Linked DNA regions of Saccharomyces cerevisiae S288C. The protein of the gene in region 3 interacts with the protein of the main gene of each other region in a biochemical or structural test. Each region holds a gene or a part of one and is shown on either strand. Other genes may lie near its edges.

The links.
Region 1: the proteins of ACT1 (region 3) and SRV2 form a complex in vitro, tested with the Saccharomyces cerevisiae proteins (5 studies listed by BioGRID).
Region 2: the proteins of ACT1 (region 3) and COF1 form a complex in vitro, tested with the Saccharomyces cerevisiae proteins (12 studies listed by BioGRID, with this or other methods).
Region 4: the proteins of ACT1 (region 3) and DLD2 form a complex in vitro, tested with the Saccharomyces cerevisiae proteins (3 studies listed by BioGRID).

What each region holds. Positions count from the first base shown.
Region 1 is NC_001146.8:364,059-368,821, forward strand, and holds SRV2 (adenylate cyclase-binding protein), read left to right. Parts: upstream 1-2,682; coding exon 2,683-4,263; downstream 4,264-4,763. Other genes in the region: THO2 (Tho2p), read right to left, coding at 1-1,659; U2 snRNP complex subunit YSF3, read left to right, coding at 1,975-1,977, 2,100-2,354; mitochondrial 37S ribosomal protein uS4m NAM9, read right to left, coding at 4,537-4,763. UniProt on the Saccharomyces cerevisiae protein: The N-terminal domain binds to adenylyl cyclase, thereby enabling adenylyl cyclase to be activated by upstream regulatory signals, such as Ras. The C-terminal domain is required for normal cellular morphology and growth control.
Region 2 is NC_001144.5:38,807-42,637, reverse strand, and holds COF1 (cofilin), read left to right. Parts: upstream 1-2,223; coding exon 2,224-2,237; intron 2,238-2,416; coding exon 2,417-2,834; downstream 2,835-3,831. Other genes in the region: bile acid-transporting ATPase YBT1, read left to right, coding at 1-1,358; LDB18 (Ldb18p), read right to left, coding at 1,433-1,972; FRE6 (putative ferric-chelate reductase), read left to right, coding at 3,167-3,831. UniProt on the Saccharomyces cerevisiae protein: Controls reversibly actin polymerization and depolymerization in a pH-sensitive manner. It has the ability to bind G- and F-actin in a 1:1 ratio of cofilin to actin. Binding to F-actin is regulated by tropomyosin.
Region 3 is NC_001138.5:51,898-56,256, reverse strand, and holds ACT1 (actin), read left to right. Parts: upstream 1-1,560; coding exon 1,561-1,570; intron 1,571-1,879; coding exon 1,880-2,997; downstream 2,998-4,359. Other genes in the region: Rab family GTPase YPT1, read left to right, coding at 271-891; YFL040W (uncharacterized protein), read right to left, coding at 3,285-4,359. UniProt on the Saccharomyces cerevisiae protein: Actins are highly conserved proteins that are involved in various types of cell motility and are ubiquitously expressed in all eukaryotic cells.
Region 4 is NC_001136.10:136,951-141,853, forward strand, and holds DLD2 (D-lactate dehydrogenase), read left to right. Parts: upstream 1-2,571; coding exon 2,572-4,164; downstream 4,165-4,903. Other genes in the region: AIT1 (Ait1p), read left to right, coding at 1-589; PCL9 (Pcl9p), read left to right, coding at 1,341-2,255; YDL177C (uncharacterized protein), read right to left, coding at 4,259-4,771.

The DNA.
Region 1 (4,763 bases), on a different chromosome or scaffold from region 3:
CCCAATACGTGAAATCTTACTCAAAAGCGTAGGAATTCTCCCCAAATACGGTCCTATGATAGATAAATAGATATGCGAGTTTTCAAATAGATCATTTACAGAAGCAAAAGGAGTCAAATTGGAATTCCACTCGCTGTAATAGAAGACGTAGCTTGAATTCAATTCAAGGGATTCAAATGGCTCGTGAGTTTTATATTTATGGATCAACCTTGGCTTATGGGCTAGAATACCATTATCTATACGGGTTATCATCAAAGCAGTTGCCATATCTTTTGATTCACCAGATGAGGTCATTGATGTGTACAATGGATTTAAAAGATATTCAAATACTCTTCCCAAATATCTAGATAAGGATTCACTAACATATAACACTTTCGGATATTGCTTTAACACATGTATCACGGGAATAACGCAACCATGTATGAGTAAGCGTTCCAAGAGTTTTATTTTACCAAATAATAAAATATCTTGCTGAGTTTTCTGCTTGCCTTTTGATTCTATATCAGCGTTTGTTTCCTCAGAGATTTTATCCTTCATATTAACATCATCATTTACAACAAGGGCGTTGTCTTCGTCAGTTTCATTTTCAGTGGACAAAGCAGCTGCCATAGCCAAGGGATTTTCTACGCCTTTAGTGGACTCCTCTTCCAGTTCAGTTTCTAAGTTTTGAATATATTCTTGTAGAAATTCCATCTCTGGTTTAACGTTATCCCAAATAGAATAAAAATTGACAAACCCATTTTTCAGTAAAATGCAACACATATCCATATACCGTTCATAGTTTTCCTTATCGACTTCTTCGTTATATTGCGATAAATTGAATGAAATAATGTTTGCTGCAATCATATTACCGCCTTCATTAAGAGAAGAATAATTGGAATTGTTAGCTACATGGCTAGATGGCCAAGAATCCGACTTTCGTAAAAGAGCAATAAAGAACTTGTACCCTTCAGTGATAAACTGACTAGAAACGTTCAAAATAACATCTAAAGTACGAATAGAATCCAAGGAATATTTCCCCATAATATGATAGATTTCTTTCAAATATGCGGACACTTTGGAAAAATTGTCGGGATCATAATACGCCAATATTAATAAGGCTACCAATTGACCATAACCCACTGAATTTTCTACCAAAAGGTTATATTTCTTCAGTTCGTATTTTGACTTTTTTAACAAATGCCTTAATAAGGTGGTTTGTTCCTTGTTGAGCAGCTTAGAGGATATCCAACTAAATTTGAACAATTCTTCATGCAACGACGGTATTAGTTTACATAATGATATGGTTGTTAGATCATTTATATTTGGAACAGTGCTTGAGACGGCGATAAACATTTTACCAACTATGGAAGCCTGGGACACTTGCCTTTCATGATTCACTAATTCATTAGTAAATGATGCAACATCAGAAAGCTTGAGGGGAGAATTTTCATCGTTTTTATTTATGAAATCAAACAGTTCAATAAACAAAGTCCTCAACCAGTCTTCCTTTTCATCATTTGACTCCAGTGCAGTGAAATCGGAGCAGAGAGTTTTTGATCGTTCAGGCCAGTTTCGTATCACCTCTTCCGTTAAAATGCTTGCCTGACTAGGGGAAGCTGGTGGTATCACTTTTTGAGAAAGAGCGTTCAATTTGGAAAGTAGCGTCTGTTCTGCCATAAAGTCCTGAAAATGTATACTGGTGCGAATATGTATCAACTGAAACCGTTTCACCCTATTATGCTTTAGATAAAGACGATAAAATCACAGCCCTATAATTTATGCAACAGTGTTTGCTTCTAAATCAACGTGTTCCCTGGGCATAAACTCTCATACGTTATGTCGCTATTGAAGAAATAGCGGAAAATCTTACGCCGAAGTTAGCGTTGTCACCCGGGAAGAAGAGAAGAACATAAGCCTTCTCATTCAGAACATGTAAATAGTGGCTAAAATGGTTATATTACACAATTCGAAACAGTGAAATTAAGAAAAGAAATGGTATGTTACGTTCTATTGCGCTTTAGTTTGAATTGAAATCATCTTTACCATGGTACTAACTACGCTTGCGATGAATCGTGCAAGTCCGTGCGGCTTATACGTAATGCTAATACTCAAAACAGGCGGAAAAGCAGAGGCAGTTGAAGTTGCAGAAGATATACAAACAAAAGTACATCGGACTGGGAGATGAGAGCACTACACGAGAACAGTGGCAGAGAAATGTGAGAAACGATACACTAAATACATTACAAGGCCACTCCGCATCTTTGGAGTACGTTTCATTGAGCCGAGGAGACCTTAGTATACGTGACACTCGTATTCACCTCCTGAAATCCATGTCCCCTGGCTATAAAGCCTACTTACGAGAAGAGAGGTAGGACGTTGAAGCCACATCCATAAATAATTTTTACATAAAATTACGCCTCGTATGTCGTTCTCAAGATTTATGGTAGAGATCACACTCAGTCAGTAACCTTTTAGGCATTGATTCTAGTAACTGTCGAACATTATTAACCTTGATGTTTATATAAAGATATAAAATGTTGGGACAGTATACAATTCATATCGTTTAAAATGATCTATACATGTCGCGTGAAGTCATAAACAGGGATTTAGAAGTGAAATCTTTTGGTAGTATAGGGGAAAACTCAGCTTGAAACTTTTCGTAATTGAGTAGGCCAAGTTGCAACCGTGTGAAATCGAATCATGCCTGACTCTAAGTACACAATGCAAGGTTATAACCTTGTTAAGCTATTAAAAAGGCTAGAAGAAGCCACTGCAAGATTAGAGGATGTCACCATCTATCAAGAAGGTTATATTCAGAATAAATTGGAGGCATCTAAAAATAACAAGCCTTCCGACTCCGGGGCCGATGCGAATACTACGAATGAACCTTCTGCAGAAAATGCTCCTGAAGTAGAACAAGATCCGAAATGCATAACTGCGTTCCAATCTTACATCGGTGAGAATATTGATCCGCTGGTAGAATTATCAGGAAAGATCGACACGGTGGTCTTAGATGCTTTGCAGTTGCTAAAGGGAGGCTTTCAATCGCAATTGACTTTTTTAAGAGCTGCTGTGAGATCAAGAAAACCGGATTATTCTTCTCAAACTTTCGCTGATTCTTTAAGACCTATCAACGAAAATATTATAAAGCTGGGTCAATTGAAGGAATCAAACCGTCAAAGCAAATACTTCGCATATTTGAGCGCTTTATCTGAGGGTGCTCCTTTGTTCTCCTGGGTTGCAGTGGACACTCCCGTGTCTATGGTCACAGATTTCAAGGACGCAGCACAGTTTTGGACTAATAGAATTTTGAAAGAATACAGAGAGTCTGATCCTAATGCTGTTGAATGGGTTAAGAAATTTTTGGCCTCTTTCGATAATTTGAAAGCCTACATTAAAGAGTATCATACTACTGGGGTTTCCTGGAAAAAAGACGGTATGGATTTTGCTGACGCGATGGCACAATCAACGAAGAATACAGGTGCTACTTCATCTCCTTCGCCAGCAAGTGCTACAGCGGCTCCAGCACCACCACCTCCTCCACCAGCCCCACCAGCTTCCGTCTTTGAAATCTCTAATGATACACCAGCAACGAGTAGTGATGCTAACAAAGGCGGTATTGGCGCGGTCTTCGCCGAACTAAATCAGGGTGAAAATATCACTAAGGGTTTGAAAAAAGTAGACAAATCCCAACAAACTCACAAAAATCCTGAATTACGTCAATCCTCTACAGTTTCTTCCACAGGAAGTAAATCCGGTCCACCACCAAGGCCAAAAAAGCCATCAACATTGAAAACTAAGAGGCCTCCTAGAAAGGAATTGGTAGGAAACAAATGGTTTATTGAGAATTACGAAAATGAAACTGAATCTCTGGTTATTGATGCAAATAAAGATGAGTCTATCTTCATAGGTAAATGTTCTCAAGTTCTTGTTCAAATAAAAGGAAAAGTTAACGCTATCTCGTTGAGTGAAACTGAGTCATGCAGTGTTGTTCTTGATTCTAGCATTTCCGGTATGGATGTCATCAAATCCAACAAGTTTGGCATTCAAGTTAACCATTCCCTACCTCAAATCTCCATTGATAAATCTGACGGCGGTAACATCTATTTATCCAAGGAATCCTTGAATACTGAAATCTACACCTCGTGCTCAACTGCTATTAACGTCAACTTACCAATCGGCGAGGACGATGATTACGTAGAATTCCCAATCCCTGAACAGATGAAGCATAGCTTCGCTGATGGTAAGTTCAAATCTGCTGTTTTCGAACATGCTGGTTAATATTGCGAGGAGCATTAATTGTATTTAGTTAAAAGAAATAAATCACATTTGAATCAATCAGAAAGAAAAGTGAATGAATAAACAATTATATACTTTTTGTAAAACCTTTTTTTCATGTGTAACCTTTTCTTAAAGAAGTAACAGGAAAACGAGGAGCGACTAAGTGACTACTTGATCGTTCGAGTAGAACTTAAAAACAAAAAAAATTAAATATTTACAGTGTAAAGAGAGGCTGAAGATCAGTCAAAAGACGCGTGCAACAATACACGACGATCATTTACCATTTCTCAAGTAATACATATATGCACGTTCATGAACAGGAACATCAAATGGTGAAATTACTTCGGATTGGCCTGGTCGAGCGACGGGATCCCTTAGGTATACAGCGTGGCATGTCTTGAAAGATATTTCCAAATGATGAGGTAAAATGGCGAAAGGCGATAAAAATGGTCTTGGCTTCCATGGTGTGAAAAAGGGTTTTTTAGGATCTTGCCTACCAT
Region 2 (3,831 bases), on a different chromosome or scaffold from region 3:
TTGTTTCAATATTGTATTATTTTGTTGGGTATTTCTACATGGCAGGTTCTCGTGAATTGAAAAGATTTGAATCTATTTCTAGATCACCGATCTATCAACATTTTTCCGAGACTCTTGTCGGTGTTACCACCATTCGTGCGTTTGGTGATGAAGGGAGGTTTATGCAAGAGAATTTACACAAAATTGATGAAAATAATAAACCATTCTTCTACTTGTGGGTTGCTAATCGTTGGTTGGCCTTTAGGATAGATATGATTGGATCCTTGGTCATTTTTGGAGCTGGTTTGTTCATTCTATTCAATATTAATAATCTGGATTCGGGTATGGCTGGTATATCTTTGACGTATGCTATTTCCTTCACTGAAGGGGCATTGTGGTTGGTAAGATTGTACTCTGAAGTGGAGATGAATATGAATTCTGTTGAAAGAGTCAAAGAATATATGGAAATTGAGCAAGAGCCATACAACGAACACAAAGAAATACCGCCACCACAATGGCCACAAGACGGTAAAATCGAGGTTAATGATTTATCATTACGGTATGCTCCAAATCTACCTAGAGTAATTAAAAATGTTTCATTTTCTGTCGACGCTCAGTCTAAGATCGGTATTGTTGGTAGAACCGGTGCCGGTAAATCAACTATTATTACCGCCTTGTTCAGATTTTTGGAACCTGAGACAGGCCATATCAAAATTGATAATATCGATATTTCCGGTGTTGATTTACAAAGACTGCGTCGTTCTATAACTATTATTCCACAAGATCCAACACTATTCTCAGGGACGATTAAAACAAACCTAGACCCATATGATGAATTTAGTGACAGACAGATCTTTGAAGCTTTGAAACGTGTAAATCTAATTAGTGAAGAACAATTACAACAAGGCGCCACAAGAGAAACAAGCAATGAGGCTTCGTCGACTAACTCCGAAAATGTTAATAAATTCTTGGATTTAAGTAGTGAAATTAGCGAAGGTGGATCCAATTTGTCTCAAGGACAGCGCCAATTGATGTGCCTTGCTAGATCTTTACTGAGGAGTCCAAAGATCATATTGCTGGACGAAGCTACAGCGTCCATCGACTACAGTTCCGATGCGAAGATCCAAGAAACCATAAGAAAAGAGTTCCAAGGTAGTACAATTTTGACAATTGCACATAGGTTGAGATCTGTTATCGATTATGATAAAATTTTGGTGATGGATGCAGGTGAGGTAAAAGAGTATGATCACCCATATTCTTTGTTACTTAACAAACAAAGTGCCTTTTATAGCATGTGTGAGCATAGTGGAGAATTGGATATCCTAATTGAATTGGCTAAAAAAGCCTTTGTGGAAAAATTGAACTCTAAAAAGGACTAGCTGTTTCGATGCTAAAGTATATATATATATATATATATATATATATATATATATATGTATATACGCACACATGTTCACGTACTATAAATTACCTTTTGTAAATTCAACAGCCTCTTTTTCTGGAACTGGAAGAATCCGTTAACTTCAATATTCCAGTCGATGAAACGGTTTAGAATTGCAATTGACCTCAAAATCATTATGTTGCAGTTATCCACCAACTCGGGTAACTTCTTCAACTGTTTCGTTTCAATATTTGCGTCTTTGAAGGAAATCTGATCCAATGAACTTTTACTGATTTGGCAAAACTCCATATATTGGCTGTTTAGTTCGTCAAATGCACTATATAATGTATAAATATCGTCAAAGCAACTAGCAAAAATACAAATATCATCAGGAGCTCCCACGTTCTCGATGTCTTCAGCCATGAAAGTATTAAAGAGTTGCAGGAGATCTTGAGAATACTTTAGACCCTGGAAATATAGACGATGTAACTGATTGTATAGTTCATCTAATTGCACTGAAACATCGGAATTCGCGCTGTATCCGGCGCCTATAAGCCGCTCCAATCGGTCACACCTGTATTCTAAAGCTTCAACAAGCTTAAGACCAGGCATCAAACTTCCTTTGGTAGAGGCTAATGGCCTTGGAAGCTCGAGAGAACATTCTATAAGTTCATCAATCACTTATACTATATGCAGTACCTCTAAATTACCTAATATCCGGGTAATAAGAACAATATTCGGGTGACGCCGCCCCTGTTTGATGACAAAATTGGAAGAAAAAGAGGAAACAAGAAAAGACTGGTTAGCAACTACGTAAACTTCAGATTTCAAAACATACATAAACAAAAAACTAACAAAAGAAGATGTCTAGATCTGGGTATGCTAAATTTCATTTGTACTCCTGTGTAAACTATCAATTACTAACTAATTGACATGATGCTGTTTTATCTCGCTCTCTTATGTCCTTTCTTTCCTCCCTTTTTAACATGGAACTTTAAAAGGAATGTGGGGGAAAAAATTCATAAGAAGCCAGGAAAATGTGAAGTTTCTGTGTAGTGTTGCTGTTGCTGATGAATCCCTTACCGCTTTCAATGACTTGAAATTGGGTAAAAAATACAAATTTATTTTATTCGGATTGAACGATGCTAAAACCGAAATCGTTGTCAAGGAAACCTCTACTGACCCATCTTACGATGCCTTCTTAGAGAAATTGCCAGAAAACGACTGTCTTTACGCCATTTACGATTTTGAATACGAAATTAATGGTAATGAAGGTAAGAGATCCAAGATTGTTTTCTTCACTTGGTCTCCAGACACTGCTCCAGTCAGATCTAAGATGGTCTATGCATCCTCCAAGGATGCCTTAAGAAGAGCCTTAAACGGTGTCTCTACCGATGTTCAAGGTACTGATTTTTCCGAAGTTTCTTACGATTCTGTTTTGGAAAGAGTCAGCAGAGGCGCTGGTTCTCATTAAGGTAAATGATTTCACAAATGACAACAATCTTCAAGAAAAATGAAAATGTATATCTATATATAAAATCGTCATATATATACAGAATACATGTATAGAATTATTATAATTATAATTTTCTCTTCGCAACTCTATCTAAAACACAATACTTAGATTTAAGGTCCCGTACACCCCGGCTAGTGGGCATTGTTTTTGCACCCATATTTGTAATTCTAAATTCAGAACGGAAATACTGGCCATGTAGATCAAGAAAAGATACAAGGTCATCGAACCAGGCAGCAATGATTTTTCTATAATCTTCTAAAGTGAAGCATGACGACCATAGCTCGTTGAATATGCATAGAACGCTTCTGTTTTTAACGTGGCTGATATCTTTAACAAAGGCTTTTAATATAAAATTACCACACACTGAAAAAAAAGACCATTTGGAATCCAACGCTGTGCTGGCATGCGCATCCTATATAAATACTCTGAAGTGGTCATTTGATAGCTCCGTCGTACCGGGTTTCTATTCTACCATATGCTCTTATTCACCAGCGTTTGATACTTGGTCACTTTGTATCTTCAATTCGCTTACAGACCAGATTATTCCCATGGACAACACAAGTTTCGAAGAAAGCTTGGGTAACGTACGAAAAACGTGCTCGTTTGTCGATAAAAAGTTTAGCAATATTTCACTGGAGCAATACTACTCATCTTTAAATAATGCTTCTTCTCACGCTTTGGAAGACTATGGTTCTATTGAAAGTTTATCGACATCCATTCGAGTCGATCGTGAGACAAGATCTAGATGGATACGAGCTTTTCATGCGCATGCCTATAATTTAGATATCAGCAGTGTTTATGGTGCATATTTAACTTACTACTTCGTCATAGTGGGTATTATCGCCGTCTTCTTCCATATGAGTCACTATAACGGCCTGAATCGAGCGCTATTTGCAAGCCGGTTCGTCAATTATATTCGGGGCCATTTTGTGTTGCCTACGTTTTTAGTAGATAA
Region 3 (4,359 bases):
TAGATCTATTAAAGTTTTCGTGTTTGTTTTAGTTTTTGTTGTTTTTTCTGTTTTTTTCCTTTTTCCTTGTGGCGTCGCCTAGGTCACTGTACACGTATATCGTGACCCGGCGCCAAATTCCTGATAGTACTATTTTTTTTGGCCCATGGGGGGAATAAAGAAAAAGAAGAGAAGCCAGAACAAATTCAGCGATTAAGTGCACCAGTTTTGAGGAGGATATCTTTACTGTTAGGCCCAGGTTGAAATAAATAAAACAAGAAAAGCACTAATATGAATAGCGAGTACGATTACCTGTTCAAACTGCTGTTGATCGGGAATTCCGGTGTCGGGAAGTCCTGTTTACTTTTGAGGTTTTCGGACGACACATATACCAACGACTACATCTCCACAATTGGAGTGGACTTCAAGATTAAGACTGTAGAACTGGACGGCAAGACTGTAAAGCTACAGATTTGGGACACTGCAGGTCAAGAACGTTTCCGTACTATCACTTCATCTTACTACCGTGGTTCGCATGGGATCATTATCGTGTATGATGTCACTGACCAAGAATCCTTCAACGGCGTGAAGATGTGGCTGCAAGAGATTGATCGGTATGCAACCTCAACAGTGTTGAAGCTATTGGTAGGTAACAAGTGTGATTTAAAGGACAAGCGTGTCGTGGAATATGACGTGGCAAAGGAATTTGCGGACGCGAATAAGATGCCGTTCTTAGAGACTAGTGCTTTGGACTCCACCAACGTCGAGGATGCGTTTTTAACCATGGCTAGACAAATCAAGGAAAGTATGTCCCAACAAAACCTGAACGAAACCACTCAGAAGAAGGAAGACAAAGGGAACGTCAACCTGAAGGGACAGAGTTTAACCAACACCGGTGGGGGCTGCTGTTGAACAAGCGCGCCTCTACCTTGCAGACCCATATAATATAATAACTAAATAAGTAAATAAGACACACGCGAGAACATATATACACAATTACAGTAACAATAACAAGAGGACAGATACTACCAAAATGTGTGGGGAAGCGGGTAAGCTGCCACAGCAATTAATGCACAACATTTAACCTACATTCTTCCTTATCGGATCCTCAAAACCCTTAAAAACATATGCCTCACCCTAACATATTTTCCAATTAACCCTCAATATTTCTCTGTCACCCGGCCTCTATTTTCCATTTTCTTCTTTACCCGCCACGCGTTTTTTTCTTTCAAATTTTTTTCTTCCTTCTTCTTTTTCTTCCACGTCCTCTTGCATAAATAAATAAACCGTTTTGAAACCAAACTCGCCTCTCTCTCTCCTTTTTGAAATATTTTTGGGTTTGTTTGATCCTTTCCTTCCCAATCTCTCTTGTTTAATATATATTCATTTATATCACGCTCTCTTTTTATCTTCCTTTTTTTCCTCTCTCTTGTATTCTTCCTTCCCCTTTCTACTCAAACCAAGAAGAAAAAGAAAAGGTCAATCTTTGTTAAAGAATAGGATCTTCTACTACATCAGCTTTTAGATTTTTCACGCTTACTGCTTTTTTCTTCCCAAGATCGAAAATTTACTGAATTAACAATGGATTCTGGTATGTTCTAGCGCTTGCACCATCCCATTTAACTGTAAGAAGAATTGCACGGTCCCAATTGCTCGAGAGATTTCTCTTTTACCTTTTTTTACTATTTTTCACTCTCCCATAACCTCCTATATTGACTGATCTGTAATAACCACGATATTATTGGAATAAATAGGGGCTTGAAATTTGGAAAAAAAAAAAAAACTGAAATATTTTCGTGATAAGTGATAGTGATATTCTTCTTTTATTTGCTACTGTTACTAAGTCTCATGTACTAACATCGATTGCTTCATTCTTTTTGTTGCTATATTATATGTTTAGAGGTTGCTGCTTTGGTTATTGATAACGGTTCTGGTATGTGTAAAGCCGGTTTTGCCGGTGACGACGCTCCTCGTGCTGTCTTCCCATCTATCGTCGGTAGACCAAGACACCAAGGTATCATGGTCGGTATGGGTCAAAAAGACTCCTACGTTGGTGATGAAGCTCAATCCAAGAGAGGTATCTTGACTTTACGTTACCCAATTGAACACGGTATTGTCACCAACTGGGACGATATGGAAAAGATCTGGCATCATACCTTCTACAACGAATTGAGAGTTGCCCCAGAAGAACACCCTGTTCTTTTGACTGAAGCTCCAATGAACCCTAAATCAAACAGAGAAAAGATGACTCAAATTATGTTTGAAACTTTCAACGTTCCAGCCTTCTACGTTTCCATCCAAGCCGTTTTGTCCTTGTACTCTTCCGGTAGAACTACTGGTATTGTTTTGGATTCCGGTGATGGTGTTACTCACGTCGTTCCAATTTACGCTGGTTTCTCTCTACCTCACGCCATTTTGAGAATCGATTTGGCCGGTAGAGATTTGACTGACTACTTGATGAAGATCTTGAGTGAACGTGGTTACTCTTTCTCCACCACTGCTGAAAGAGAAATTGTCCGTGACATCAAGGAAAAACTATGTTACGTCGCCTTGGACTTCGAACAAGAAATGCAAACCGCTGCTCAATCTTCTTCAATTGAAAAATCCTACGAACTTCCAGATGGTCAAGTCATCACTATTGGTAACGAAAGATTCAGAGCCCCAGAAGCTTTGTTCCATCCTTCTGTTTTGGGTTTGGAATCTGCCGGTATTGACCAAACTACTTACAACTCCATCATGAAGTGTGATGTCGATGTCCGTAAGGAATTATACGGTAACATCGTTATGTCCGGTGGTACCACCATGTTCCCAGGTATTGCCGAAAGAATGCAAAAGGAAATCACCGCTTTGGCTCCATCTTCCATGAAGGTCAAGATCATTGCTCCTCCAGAAAGAAAGTACTCCGTCTGGATTGGTGGTTCTATCTTGGCTTCTTTGACTACCTTCCAACAAATGTGGATCTCAAAACAAGAATACGACGAAAGTGGTCCATCTATCGTTCACCACAAGTGTTTCTAATCTCTGCTTTTGTGCGCGTATGTTTATGTATGTACCTCTCTCTCTATTTCTATTTTTAAACCACCCTCTCAATAAAATAAAAATAATAAAGTATTTTTAAGGAAAAGACGTGTTTAAGCACTGACTTTATCTACTTTTTGTACGTTTTCATTGATATAATGTGTTTTGTCTCTCCCTTTTCTACGAAAATTTCAAAAATTGACCAAAAAAAGGAATATATATACGAAAAACTATTATATTTATATATCATAGTGTTGATAAAAAATGTTTATCCATTGGACCGTGTATCATATGATCATCTCTTCATCGCTTTTCAGTTTTATAGGTTTATGCAATTGCCCTTCTTGGGAGGATCTTGTAGAACCGCCATTAGAATTTGAGTCCGGCGTTTTGATACCCTTTTCCCCATGTAAATTGGTGCCCTCTTTACTCTCAAATTCGAAGAATTTATCAATATCTTCTATGCTCATACCCTTTGTTTCTGGGAACCAAATCAAAACTGAAAGTGATATCAAGAATGTCAAAGATCCAAATATTATAAATGTTGTGCCTTTTAATCTTTCAATCATCACAGGGCATAGAAACGTTAAAATAAAATTGCCCAACCATCCAAACGTTACGCAAATGGCAAATCCCTTAACTTTCACTCGTGAGGGCAACATTTCATTCGTGTAAACCCAAGGTATACTGGAAAGGCTCATGGCAAATATTCCAACAATTAGAAAGCATAAAGTTAGAATCCATCCTCCCACAAACGGGTTTTCTCCAATTGACCAAACTAAACTCCTATTGCCGTCGATGGGCTTGGTGTCTTGACCATACTTCACAAATAATGCGCCGATTGTAATGAGCAACCCACTAATGGGAAAGCCACCCAACAAGGTAATTAGCTTTCTGCTAGTGTAATCAATGAATGTAATCGGTAACAAGCTCAAAACCATGTTGATGAAATATGGAATGGAACTGGTGAATAGTTTTACATTGCCTTCAAGCCCTACAATCTCGCAAATGTATGTAATATAACCAAGGATAATGTTTATACCGCTAAATTGAACCAATAACTGTAAAGTCATTCCAAGAATCAAAGGCTTAAACGAACCCCGAGGTAATTTTTTGGAGAAGTCCAAATCATTAACTCCAATCCAAAAATCTCCTGCTAATTCGATCTTACTCATCTCAGGGACTGCATCCCTTGGCTGGCTTTCATTAAACTTTTTGGCTAAATTGTGCTGAATTTCCTGAGCTTCACTCATCTTCCCATGTAGTACTAGCCAGTGATAAGATTCAGGTAGAGCGTAGCTAGCCATCCAGAACAGTAATCCAGGAATGATTCCTATGCACCACGCTATACGGAACGCAAAA
Region 4 (4,903 bases), on a different chromosome or scaffold from region 3:
TGGTAGTAATATCATGTTGACAATTGGGGAATCATTGATTCTGTCGATGTATTTCGTCTATGTTCGCGGCCATGAAGGATTATTTACTCCCGTGGTGAACTACTTCGGCTCAAGAACCATTTCAAATTTCATCTTATGCGTAATAATTCCTTTCATATCTCTAAACTTCCTCATCAACACTTCGATATATTTAAGAAGAGAGCTAGACGATTGGTTTAATAATTCACAGGGGGAGTTTGAGGACGACGACGAAAATACTATCAGTAAGAGAGTAGCTACAAATCAAGAGTACCAACATCCACTGAGTGCTAATTACATTTCGATGGATAGTCCTGATGTAATAAATAGCAGCCCGGGTCACTTCGGGATGAATTCAGGCCAGTTGTTAGGTAATACGACGTTATATTATGGTAGTTTAAATGGGGATGATGATGATATGACCAACGACTCCGCTTTACTAAGATTCTGCAAGAAGCTAGTCAAAAATTGGAGGGCTTTGGCAAGAAATGATTCTTTTGTACTTGGAGTAATGGTTTCTTGGAGTCTTCTTGTTTTTGTAACGGGAATACTTTCAACAGTTTATATATAGCATATAAGTAACGACCGTGCACATATTAGGGTGTTCATATCTTGAAAAATCTTTATGTTATCCATTTTACTTTAGGGGAGGTGGAGCTTAATAATAAAATTTACATAAGAACAACAATCTGTAAGTAATTATAAAAATATATTAAAGGGACATTTTAACCCTACTTTAAAAGTTTAACTACATCAGTGGTTCATCAATCAAAGGTTATGCAAGGTAGAAATTTGTCCAAAAGAAAATAGATCATGCATCATTCAATATGGAGCTCACACTGTATGCTACAATTTGGCCTCCATTCATAACTGCCAAGATAAAATTTGTTGGCAATATGGAGCTCACACTGTATGCTACAATTTGGCCTCCATTCATAACTGCCAAGATAAAATTTGTTGGCAATATTGAAAATTCTTAAATTAGCGCTGCGCGGAAACCAGCGTCACTAATTTTTTTTTTTATTGCTGCACTAAAAAAAAACCAGCTCAAGTAGATAATCTTACAAGGGACAAGTAGTCAAGCCTTGCTTATTATAATTCTGTTTAACGGTGCAGTGAGTTTGGACATTCATGCAACGTGGTAAATATGTGTCTCTTTGCTTCTGTATTTAAGCATTTGGGCAGCTTGCGGTCAGTAGAAGAGTGCATCGACATTCATAGATCTCTAATAACATATATTTAAGTGGATATACGCAAAGAAAGGACAAGAAAACTTGTTTCGGTAACAGCATTATTAATTCTGAAGAAATACGCACAAAGAGATGATTTCTGACTACGATGCTCTTTTGCAATTCAACAAAAAACCTGTTTCGCAAGAAATGATTCAGTTCTTAGCCACTTCTACTGCTTCCATAATTAAAATCAGGGAAAATAATAATCCAATCCAAGGATGTCGCCCACCAGACTTATCTATCTTCATTAAAAACGTGGTAATTCAGTCAAATGTTCAAACACCAACTTTAATGGCCACATCAGTTTATTTAAACAAACTGAAAAGCGTAATACCAAAAAATGTGTACGGTATTAACACCACAAGACATCGGATATTTCTCGGATGCTTGATATTAGCTGCCAAAACTCTGAACGATTCTTCTCCCTGGAACAAACACTGGACCACGTACACAGAAGGTTTACTCAGAATACGTGAGGTGAATACCATCGAACGAGAACTATTAGAATATTTAAATTGGGATGTGAGGATAACTACACCGGATTTGATTGATTCTCTTTCTTACTTCCTCGGGCCTATCAAGGAACAACTATTTTTACAAAGGAGACAAGAAATGCTGTTGTTCAATGCACCAAGTCCCGGCCAACTGAAAGAATATATAAATCATAGAAGACCGGTTTCGCATTCTAGAACTTCTTCTGCTATATCGGTTCCTTCACTGACATCCATGGCAACAGTTTCGACAACAGACTCAAGGTCTTCTCTACTGGCAAAATACCAACCGTCCCTACCGTTGGTGGAATCTGACAACTTCAACAAAAAAAATCATGTGCCGTTAAGGAATAATAACGATATCTGTAATAATTTCAGGGCAGAGGAAAACATACACTCAGTAAACCATATTGATGTAACAATGGGAAGTTCACCAGTAATGTCGCATAAGCCCACAATTCACCAACGGTTAAATTTTACAAGGAGGGGCTGGTCATCGTTTTTCAAGCAATAATTCTAAGTTACTCGCCTTTTACAAGCTCTATAAATATTCTTTTCCGTTCTTTAGTTGTCTTAACTTTGTACAATATGAATAACCATCGTTTCTAGGCTACTAAAAAAACACCATACTACATAAACAAATATCTAATAATGAATACTCTTGGCATTCGTCTTGTTTCTCGAGGAATATCGGCCGAGTTTTTTTCATTTTGACAGGTTATATAATTCAAAATCTATCTGACTCTGAAAAAGTGGTAATAAATGCATTGACAACTTCTTCTCTTTATTTTACAGACATTAATCCAGCACTACAAGTGGCATATAACAAGATGCTAAGAAACATTTTGGTGAGAAGTACTGGCAGCAATTTCAAATTTGCTGGCAGATATATGAAATCATCAGCTCTTTTAGGATACTATAGAAGAGTTAACTATTATTCGACCAAGATACAAACCAGACTGACTAGCGAAAACTATCCAGACGTGCATCGAGACCCTAGATTCAAAAAATTAACGTCCGATGATCTAAATTATTTTAAATCTATTTTATCGGAACAAGAAATATTAAGAGCCAGCGAATCAGAGGATCTTTCATTTTATAATGAAGATTGGATGAGAAAGTACAAAGGACAGTCCAAGTTAGTATTGAGACCTAAGTCAGTGGAAAAAGTTTCTTTAATCTTAAATTATTGTAATGATGAAAAAATTGCCGTTGTCCCACAAGGCGGTAACACGGGGTTGGTAGGTGGTTCTGTGCCCATTTTTGATGAATTAATTCTATCTTTAGCAAATTTAAACAAAATAAGAGATTTTGACCCTGTATCAGGTATCTTGAAGTGTGATGCTGGTGTAATCTTGGAAAATGCTAACAATTACGTAATGGAACAAAATTATATGTTTCCGTTGGATCTGGGAGCTAAAGGTTCCTGCCATGTTGGTGGCGTGGTTGCAACCAACGCTGGAGGACTAAGGTTATTGCGTTATGGCTCACTACATGGAAGCGTTTTAGGCTTAGAGGTGGTAATGCCCAATGGTCAAATTGTTAATAGCATGCATTCCATGAGAAAAGACAACACCGGTTATGATCTGAAACAGCTGTTCATTGGCTCAGAAGGTACTATCGGTATCATCACTGGTGTTTCAATCTTGACTGTTCCTAAGCCAAAAGCGTTTAATGTATCTTACTTGTCTGTTGAAAGTTTTGAAGACGTTCAAAAAGTCTTCGTCAGAGCCAGGCAAGAATTATCTGAGATTTTATCCGCTTTTGAATTTATGGATGCTAAATCTCAAGTATTGGCCAAGAGCCAATTGAAGGATGCTGCCTTCCCTTTGGAGGATGAGCATCCATTTTATATTCTTATCGAAACGTCAGGGTCAAACAAAGATCACGATGATTCCAAACTTGAAACATTTTTAGAAAACGTCATGGAAGAGGGCATAGTAACGGATGGTGTAGTGGCACAAGATGAAACCGAACTCCAAAACTTGTGGAAGTGGAGAGAAATGATTCCAGAGGCAAGTCAAGCTAATGGTGGTGTTTACAAATACGATGTTTCTTTACCACTAAAGGACCTATATTCTTTGGTTGAAGCCACTAATGCAAGACTTTCTGAAGCTGAATTAGTGGGTGATTCGCCCAAACCAGTGGTGGGCGCCATTGGATACGGTCACGTGGGTGATGGTAATCTACACTTAAATGTTGCAGTTAGAGAGTACAACAAGAACATTGAAAAGACTTTGGAACCATTTGTCTACGAGTTTGTTTCCTCAAAACATGGTTCCGTTAGTGCCGAACATGGGCTAGGTTTCCAAAAGAAAAATTACATTGGCTATTCTAAGAGCCCGGAAGAGGTCAAGATGATGAAGGATTTGAAGGTTCATTATGATCCTAATGGAATTTTAAACCCTTACAAATACATTTGAAAATAAAATGCCAAGTTTTATAGTTATCTACATATGTATATATTTATCAATATTATATTCTACAATTGTGTATATTATATGGTAAGGGTGATATTTAAGGAAGAAATCCACCCTTCTTTAAGGTTTCCACTGCACATGTTGAAATGTGTCTGAATCTTGATGAGCCCAAAGGCGTGCCACCATACCATCTGGTCACTATTACCAAGACGTTGAATATGTTTGCTCTTTCAAGTAAGGTCAATAAACGCTGTCCAGCACCAGCTTCGCCACAGTCAGCACATCCTTGCTCAATGTTCTTTGGCTGCACCGTTATGTTCCTTGACTTGTTAACATGACTATTATTACTCTTATTTGCTTTATTGCCCTTCTTTTTCTGCTCTTGTTGTAAGTGCAAATTATTTGATACCTCGGCCGTTCTCCAGGCATACATGTGCATGTGGGATGCCTTGGAGACGCTTTTGTTGTTTTGCGTTAGTTCTTGGAGTATGGAGGGTATATCCTTTTGATTTTGTAATGGGCAACATCTTGCTTGAAATTTCGATTTTCTATCAACTAAAACTTCTGATTCATTCCATATTTTCACTAGCTTACCAACATTCTTACTCATTTCTCCAAAAAATAGTAATACCAAACATCAATACCTATCTAAGAATCTGTATAATGTCTTTTCTAAAGGTTTTTTACAGCTGATGATTGATGCATGACTTATTTCCACAGTGCCGTATTTTCTCAGTTGCCG